Caenorhabditis elegans: one gene and its partner. The protein of the gene in region 1 interacts with the protein of each later gene in a biochemical or structural test. Each region holds a gene or a part of one and is shown on either strand. Other genes may lie near its edges.

Region 1 (6,261 bases):
ATGAAAGCAAGATTTTATTGCTAGTGAAAAGTTTACATAATTTTAAACTTAGCATTTTAAACAGTAGACATTTCACATGCTTTTACTTTTAAACTTTTCTAAGCATAATTCTATCTTCCTAGATATTACATATATTTTCCCAATGTTTAGTAAGCTCACAGAACATAAAACAAAAAATATATGTTTCTTCTTCGATTTTCGAAAACAAAAACATAATCTAATTCGGTTTGGGATGCATCTGACATCTGAAACAACGCGTCGAAAATGCAAAAAGTTCAACGAACGAAAAGAAGAACAAACCCGAGATGGATTTCTTTTTGTTTTTGATCTTCGTTTTTTTTTCAAAGTTAGCCATATTTATGTTCACCACAGAAATTCCTCCCATCTTTTCTCAAAACAAAGAAGTCGAGACTAACATTAAAATCGTGTCGTTGCCCTATAATTGAACACATCTCTATTCTATCTCTTCTTCATTTTGCTCTTTTTGGCTATTCTCTCACTCATCGGGAAACCCGTGATTTTGATTGCCTAACCCAGACTGAAAGCCTATTGAAACACTTTTTCATATGCTTTTTCCCACCCGAGTCATGAACTAAAAATCATTGAAGCTGTGGCATTGAGCAGAATTTTTCACGAGTCATCCCAATACAATATACTGATAAAGCATTTTTATCTAGGTTTGTTTCTAGGAATTGAATAATTTACTCCACAGAGAGCTCATCTCATCTCTATCATACCTTTAAATTCTTATAATAATTATTGTGATAATGTAAGTTTTTCATGTTTTTATGAGTTTCGTTCCTTCTCCACCTCAAAAAAAAAGATTTAAAACATTTTTTGAGTTCAAAGCCAGAAAAAAACTAAAATAGTATAAGACTTGTGTGAATTCAAATTTAAATATATAAAAACGTTTTGCGGAAACTAACGCGAAAATACTTTAAAGAACAAATAAAAGTTACCTTTGTCGTATTTGAGATTGTCAAAAACTGTTTGTAGCTTCAAATTTCATATTTAAAGAAACATAGGACATATCTTTAACTTCAAGTTTTACAAAAGTGTTATGTTATTACTCACGGCCTTTTACGTCAGTGCTCATTGAAATTATCTAATTTTTCACATCACAAACATGTTGGCTATCTGCAAAAGAGATCTTACCCCGAAAATGACGGGGCTTTCTCCAAATTCTTTTTTACGTGTGAAATTTGAAATTGAAAAAAATGACTACCCTTTGCAACCTTTACCCGTTGAACCCACACCGGATGAGGATTCATCGCACATTTCTGGTTGGTCGAACACTAGGAAATCTTTTTTTACTGAGAAAGTTTTTTGTAGACTCAACTCCATTTTACTTGGTAGAAACATTTTGAACTTCAAGAATTTTCGAATAGTGGACACCTATGTATAATTGCAAGAACAATGAAATTTAATACTCATTAATTCTTTCTTTCAACTAGTTTTTTGTTCTCATATTCGTTTTTTGCATTTTCTTTGCCTATGTCTAATTAGAAAATGAAAGAGCAAAAAAGTAAAGATTCACACAAGTCACACGTCAGGATGACTTATTCATTATTTGCCTGATTCTTCTCAAATTATACGTACGCATCTTTCAACGGTACGTCTCATTTTGCGGATTTCAGCCGAGTGAGAACATGTTGCAAGCTTGCCTAAACACCACCGAAGACCAATGTGATTGCCTTGCATTCAATTGTCCAATTGTTTATAGTCATTCGGAAAGCGAAAAAGAAGCGTGTTACATGGAGCACTGCTTTATTTCAAAACGAGCACTGGATGACGTCACGTTGTATAAGGTTGGTGAAAAAAAGAAATTAAAAGTTGGGAAGCTATAGATAAATTTTAAAGTCATTGAAAATAATTGCAGGAAGCAATAAAGCCCTAATTTACACTTCACAATAAATTGACACCATACAATTACTATTTTCCTCTATTAGAAAAAAACATTTGTTTCTAAAATGGCAAAATTCCACCATAACAAAAATGTTAAGTTAACTGGCACCCCAAAAAAGATAATTTCAAAGTTTTAAATCATATTTATTTTCTCCAAAAATGAGGAAAATGTCTGAATAGAGAACATAATTTTTCAACGTAACTATGATCTTTCTTGATATCTTTCGTGTTATCGGCGAAACTATAAATCTTGCTGAAAACCTTAAATTCGCATGTTAGTTCAAATTCAAACTATAAATTTTTTTCAGGTGACTGCTCTTTACATTTTCATTTTCTTAGTTGGTGTAATTGGAAACACTACAACCTGCTTAGTCATGAAAAAACATCCCATGATGAAAACCCATGCAAGGTAAGGTAATTCTTCCAACTACCAACATAAGCCTTATTACTTTAGCATGTATCTCATGAATCTGGCGGTTTCGGACTTGGTCACGTTATGCGTGGGTTTACCGTTTGAAGTAATGATGAACTGGAATCAGTACCCATGGCCATTTCCGGATTACATATGCAACTTGAAAGCGCTCATTGCGGAAACAACGAGGTGAGGCGTTAATGATTACTGAATAGTTCAGCAACAAAGTTACATTTTTATTTCAGTTCCGTTTCTATTCTGACAATTCTGATTTTTGCAATTGAACGTTATGTAGCGGTGTGTCATCCACTTTTTCTAATGAAGGTTCAACCATTCAAGAGAAATGTGAGTTCAATTAATGCTTAACCCGCATACTGGCTACTTTACTCTCTAAGTCGGCAGTTGATATCTCGGTTGAAAAAAAGTCTAACTGCTGCAGAATTACGACAAGAGAACGTTAAAAAATTTATTGTTAGTGTCCTTTGAAAAGGGAGAAAAAAAACAATTGAGATATAAGTTATCATAGTTGAGAATTATAGTATTAATGTAAATACAATAGTTAGAATAACATTTAAATCTATATTAAGTTGGAATATGCGCCGACAACGTTGCATGTAGAGTACAGTACTTCTATCAAATCCCACAGAGTTATAAGTGTCATAGATACAGGTTTTAAGAAAACACCACTTGAAAAACGCAGACAACGTAAGATTTAAAACATGACTCGTTGCGAACCTCGATCAATGTCGGCTGCGCGATTTTTTCAAAGCTTATTATTTGATACTCACTATCAGGAAAGCAGTACGCAGGAAAGCAACACATTATGAAAATATTTAGAAAATGAGATTTGTGATTGAACCACATAAAACATTCAATTTCATAAACATAAATTATTTATTAAACTATCAACGTACAACAGCAATAACATTTTTGAAGATTGGAACTATAATTGGCTTTACTTGGATTTTCTCTATCCTTTGTGCTATGCCCTTTGCGATCCATCACCGAGCCGATTACATTATGAAAAGCTGGCCAGGGACAGACAACAGAATACCGGTAAAATAGAGTTTATTGACAATAACTCAGCAAAGTCTTTTAAGGTTAAATCTTCAAAAATGTGCATGATAGCAGTGATGTTTGAACCAAAGCTAGCGTCAACTTTTAAGGTAGTTAATAAATAAAAATTATCTTATACAGGGTGCAAGTTTGTATATTTTTTTCAGATTCTATTTCACTTCTCTGCCATAGCATTCTTTGCACTCCCACTGTTTACAATTGTAATTCTCTATGCAAGAATTGCATGTAAGGTAAGAAAAGTTGAACGGTGAAAAGCAAATTTTAAATTCACATTAAAACATTGATTGTTTTAAAATGAACGTTTTAATATCGTAATGAATAACGGATACACGTAAAACAAAAATTAAACAAAAACTCACCTGTTCTTTCATTTAGGTATCCAGCAACAGAACAATTCAACCAGGCGAACTTGATATCACTGAGGAACTGCAAATGAGAATCAATGCAATTTTATGTGAGTTCGGGATGAGTTGTTGATAAAAAACAGATGTAGGAGGGGTAGAAAATTGGAAAGTGAGGAACCGAATATGGGAGGGATTGGAGCGGAAAACGAATGCGTGAGCAGAGACTAGAAATGGATGTACTTAGATGAAGTACAAACTATCGTATTGTTCCATACAATTTTCAGTGGATATTTTTGTATTTTTCGGAATTTCGAGAACTGCGGTAGTTTATTGTTTAGTAACAGAGTTTTTAGTAACAAAGAGTAGAAACAAGGTAAAGTGACAATTTATGCAAATTTTGGGTTTTCTGGATGAATACTGTTTTTCACTTTAACTGTTATATTTTGTCACTACAGATAAAATATTGTATGTTCCCAAAAAGTGAGAAAAATATGAGCACATTTTGTCATTGTCTAGTGGCGAGTCTAGTGGTCTAGTGAACCAGTTTGCAATTTATGGTTTGAATATTTTAATTACTTTTAATAGTTTGTACAGTTTGGATTAACAATATACACACCTTGAACAATAATGTTATGAAAAGTTGGAACAATTTCTAGTAAACAGATACAAGTTCTAAGCAGTGCACATTCAAATACCAAGCTCATCTTCAGACACACATCCTCTTAATGTAATTTTGTTTCCGGAAATGCTAAATCAACTAATCGACCAAAAATCGTAACATTGAATTTAATTTGCAGGTGCAATCGTTTCGGCTTTCTTCATCTGCTACCTTCCGTTTCAATTGCAACGTCTCTTGTTTTTCTATTTTGATAATGAAGTTATTTTGACATGGGTCAATCAGTATATGTATTTTATCTCAGGTTTGTTATCAAAAAGTTCAAAAGTAAATCGTCTTTAAACCAGTAAATATTAAGATAGATTTTGAATTTTTTTTTTGAGAACAAAAAGAAATCATAGACAAATTTGAACAACCATAATCCATTAAAAAACAAAAGTTCGGATCAAGTTTCACTGGAGAACAAGTCTAATTAATGTGCACAACAAATTTAAAAATAAAATTAATTTTTAGGATTCCTTTTCTATCTTGCCACTATCATCAATCCTATTGCCTATAACCTTGCATCCAGCCGTTTTCGAAGAGCATTCAAAGACATTCTTATTGATTACTGTTGGAGAGGAGGATCTGAGCGTTATCCAAGAAGCTCATTCAGCAAATATAGCTTGTGAGTGGGAATATTCAGAGCAGTTACAAATATTTTGTTCGTGATCAAGAAGAAAACGATGAGAAAATTGTATTAACTACATTTTCCATTGAAAAAATACTGTAAAATGCACTTTGAGTGCCAAAAGCGGCGCAAGTGACGAGTAGTACAAAAAAGTGTTTAAGAAAATTTTTAAAAAAATATGGTTTATTTCAAAATTTATCACAAATTATACTTTGGTTGACAAAATCACATTGAGATGATAATTTCGTGAAGAAAATTTCCAGTGTCCAAAGTCCTGATTAAAGCTTTTGGAAAACAAAACTAGTTTGCATAGTTAATTTCAATAACTTTTGCTGCTCGGCTAGTGACATCACACACTTTATTTTTCTTAGGAAATATAGGACTGCTTCTAACAACTTAAAACAGTTTAAGATGCATTAAAAGTCAATTTCCAGAGCTCATACTCCTCTCAGGCAAGCCATGTCCAACCGGGTTCCAATTCTCGACTCCAAAACAAACGCATAACTTCAAAACATTGTCCCAAAATAATATTATTTGTACATATATTTTATTTTGTCTCCACATTATTTTTAATTTTTTTTCTCCCTCTTCAATATTTGTAAACCTTGTCTCATATTTTTCCTGCTAATTCGATATCATGTAGTTTGCATTACGGGGGCATACTTCATTCTATACTTTATTTCAATCTGCCAAATAAAAAGTGTAGGTTTTCTATTTTCCTTCCTGGAAGCACACGGTCCAGTGAACTTCAGTCTCTCTTGGTAGCAATGTACCAAAAAGTCACTGAGACAGAATTTGGAAGTAGAGAGAAATGTAAATGAAGTTATTTTTTATTTTTTGCTTTGACATACGGAAATAGAAAATTAAAATGTAAATAACAAAAACGACTTTTCATAAATTATATATGGTGTAAAATTGACCTTTTACATAGAATTTTAAAAGAAAGTCTCCCACCTTCGTTAAGAACATAAACATTAATTTTCAATCCCACAATTTAAATTACAAACAAAATGTGACATTCCTGAACTTTAGACAAGGCGTCTGTGAAGTTTTATGTTGTTCATATCTTTGATAGTTTTCCGCGGAGGTTGAAATTTGAGAAGTTCCTTGTGTTCTTGCTGATTATCATCTTTAAAATCATCTGAGAATGTTGTGTTCACGGTAATATGATGCAAAAATACCTTCAACTATTGTTTTTACTGACATTCTAAAGTTAAAACATTTTGCAAATTAATTG
Region 2 (3,257 bases), 3.1 Mb from region 1:
ATTCATTTTGAAATAAAATCCAAATTCTCATTTAAAACTGCAAAAATTACAAGAATATTAAAATTTTTTAAGATTAAAAAATTAGATAATATTCTGAGATAATGAAACTTATTATTTACTTGAAATGTGATTATTGAAATGTGAACACTCTACAGAAATTATGACCACAGGACAAGTAATTTTACGGTCAAATTTGCCTTTCCACAAAAAAATTCATATTCAGATTCTGCAGGTATTCGTTAAAATTTAGGAAAAGCAACAAAATAGATCGGAGCCAGGCAGCATATGCTATTACCTGCAAACACTTCAGCAATAACTCGGATTCCTCTCGTAAATAAATTTCGAAAATATAAACTTTTCTTAAAATATTTGGCACATATTGTTGGCACAACCTTTTTAAAATCATTGGTGGACCTACAAAGTGATGTCCAAATATGAAAATAAAGACGAGAAACGAAACGAACTAATAATACCCGCGGCTTAATTTGAGGACAACAAACGACAGCTTCTCCATGTTTTTTGCAAAGTTGATCCTTGGAGGGCAATTTTGACAACACGTGCTGTAAAAATTTGCGGATACCAAGCCTACAGTTGATTTGTGATGTACCAATTATGAGCACGATAAATCGCGAGCCAAAACGACCACTGTTCACATTTCTGTATTTTGAGAGTTGCGATAGGCGCATTGTGCGCAATGTTGGTGGGCATGGCGGTACTTTCACAATGCTGTTGCTGCGAGGCTCTGACTCTCACGAATATTTAGTTTTGCTTTGTTTTTACGTTCGTTATATCCTTGGAATGTCATTCTCGTACCTGAAACCACCTGGAAACTGTTTTCGTTTACGCATTCTTAACCCGGAAATGTGTTTCTCGCCAAAACACAAGTTCAGCTGCAAAAATAAACTTTTTCGAGTGAATCAGGAATTTCAGAAGTTTATCAGAGACTTGTTTTTACAAAATCTACACATGTGACTGGAATTTTCAAACGTTTGAGGTAAATATTTTCAGTTTATGATGAATACGTAACTGAGATAAATTAAATAAATAATCTTTAAGTTCACAGTCTGAATAGTCTGCAAAACCGGACACTCAAACTCTAACAATTGTTTAATTTGCCTGTCAAGGCAATTCTAATCACTCAAAAAGTGCAAGAAGCGCACTTGTTCCCTAAAGAATGCTTCTAATCCCTTTGTACGAATTTGTACTGTCAACGAACTGTGTGGTGGAATGAGGAAGACGCAGCAAATAATCCATTGACAAACTGGGCGGGTCCGTCAAATCCGTGTGGCAAACAACTGACAGTCTAACTAACTGTTGCTGCTCATTTTCAATCAGTGCGAGCTGGCCTCCTTCCGTCGTCTACATTTCTTATTGATTATTCGGCATTCTGTTAGGAAGCATCAATGTGTTGTGACCGTTGTTACGGTCAATTTGCAAATTGAAAAAATGACCGTAATCCCGTTCACAATACATTGTTCGTTTTCTCCAAAGGTGATTCATTAAGTAAAAAGGGAATGTGGGTGTGCAAATGTGAATGTTCTGCTGGTTTACAACCGTGGTTTACAACCAGACAGCTAAAAACGCATGCCTGGATATTAGAGAGTGACGACTATATCCATATTTATTTTGACTATTCCGTCGGCTCGAATTCCTGGTAAGATTTTCTTGTTCACATTTGAATAGGACAAATAGTGATTTCACTCGTTTTTCTTCCTTTTCTGTCTTTTATTAATTTCCTTTTTTTTTGAAAATAGCCGGAATCGTTTTTTTTTGTCGGCCAAGAGGTGAGTAGGTGTAGTACAGCAGGGGTGATAAGCCAAAGCGTCACAAGACCGGTGGCTCCCAGAACGGAAATTAAAAAAGGTGGGACTTTGGGCGGCTTAAAGTGTCACTGGTCTGGACGAGTAGATATTCGACACCCCTCTTGCACATATTATTTGTTAGTCTGACTGAGTTTTCTCAGTCATTCAACATAAACTGTTCACATTTCTACAGGAACAATGCTTCTCTGGATCGTCGCCACTTTGCTCATTTTTAGCCTTCCAGTGTCAACGGCTTTAGATTATAATGGTAATTGATTTTTCATCAGTATCACTAAAACATTTTGAGAATCTAACCATGATTTAATAGTAGGTATATAGTATATCAAGTATGTACATGTAATACAATAATCCCTTATAAAAATCTACATCTTTCAGATTTCTCCTTGCAACGAATTGCTCGGGCTCCACATCCATCATCTGCTCTCTTAGTGCCATACCCAAGAGTCGGAAAACGAAGTAACATTTTGAAGTAGGTTCAAGCAAAATGAAAAATACATTTTATGTAAAAAAGTTTTAAAATTTTGTTTTTCAGTAACAATTCCGAATCACAAAACTCTGTCCAAAAGAGACTCTACATGGCGCGTGTTGGAAAACGAGCATTTTTCTACACTCCACGTATTGGGAAATAATGACGAGGATACTCCAGACGGACCGGCTATAACTGACACTTTTCATTTTGATCAATCCTTATTTCCCTCTTTCCCCTTGTTCTTCTGTCACGTTCCTTTCTTTTTTCATGAATGTATGTACACTATATTATCACAACAACACAAATCGACAAAATTTTTTTGACCTTTTCTATTAAATTTTTTTAATTTGAAAGTCTTATTGTGTTTTCTTTTCACTTCCATTTCCTAATATCTTGAACATTTTTCAAATGTGGCAGAATAAAGTGTGCGACGCGTTACCAAAATACACTTTGATTTTTGATCTCACTCGATTTCGAGGAGATCTGTTCCGTTTTTGACGTTTTTTTTTCTGACAACGACAATTAAAAATTGAGAACAAGAAAAACAACATCTCGTGTTTGTTGAATTGATACATTGGGTTTATAACGAAGCACAGATGTATTTTCTGGCGGTATTGCTTTTAGTATGGGAAGATGTTAACGTTCGTGTTTTTTGTCGGTGGATTTTAATCGCTATTTCTCAATTCCAGCTGAAAAATTTTCAACTTTTTTTGTATGTAATGTCAATAACACGTTTTTCTTGTTAGAAAAATAATTATTTTGCAGCTGCCAACTTTGATCACCTATAGTAATTTCCCTATCATTCATAATTACGCTTCCGTTGGTCAAACTTTGCTCGAAAATTATAGATTTAAAGTTTTCAGTAATCAAGTGTTCATAAAATCATGTACGTTCATGCTATTTTGAGACTATTCGAATTTTTTGGAAGTTTTTTTTTTTTTCGAGCCAATGATGTGATTGAAAAG

The links.
Region 2: the proteins of nmur-1 (region 1) and capa-1 interact in a test that uses a peptide from one of them, tested with the Caenorhabditis elegans proteins (one large-scale study listed by BioGRID).

The regions. Positions count from the first base shown.
Region 1 is NC_003284.9:8,979,327-8,985,587, forward strand, and holds nmur-1 (G-protein coupled receptors family 1 profile domain-containing protein), read left to right. Parts: upstream 1-1,649; coding exon 1,650-1,808; intron 1,809-2,213; coding exon 2,214-2,314; intron 2,315-2,359; coding exon 2,360-2,506; intron 2,507-2,562; coding exon 2,563-2,662; intron 2,663-3,253; coding exon 3,254-3,373; intron 3,374-3,417; coding exon 3,418-3,483; intron 3,484-3,540; coding exon 3,541-3,624; intron 3,625-3,769; coding exon 3,770-3,848; intron 3,849-4,535; coding exon 4,536-4,658; intron 4,659-4,867; coding exon 4,868-5,021; intron 5,022-5,458; coding exon 5,459-5,528; 3' UTR 5,529-5,737; downstream 5,738-6,261.
Region 2 is NC_003284.9:5,917,766-5,921,022, forward strand, and holds capa-1 (LYMARV-amide), read left to right. Parts: upstream 1-1,994; 5' UTR 1,995-2,000; coding exon 2,001-2,070; intron 2,071-2,198; coding exon 2,199-2,292; intron 2,293-2,355; coding exon 2,356-2,452; 3' UTR 2,453-2,729; downstream 2,730-3,257. UniProt on the Caenorhabditis elegans protein: Encodes at least three neuropeptides: two of the periviscerokinin family (APHPSSALLVPYPRV-amide and LYMARV-amide) and one pyrokinin (AFFYTPRI-amide).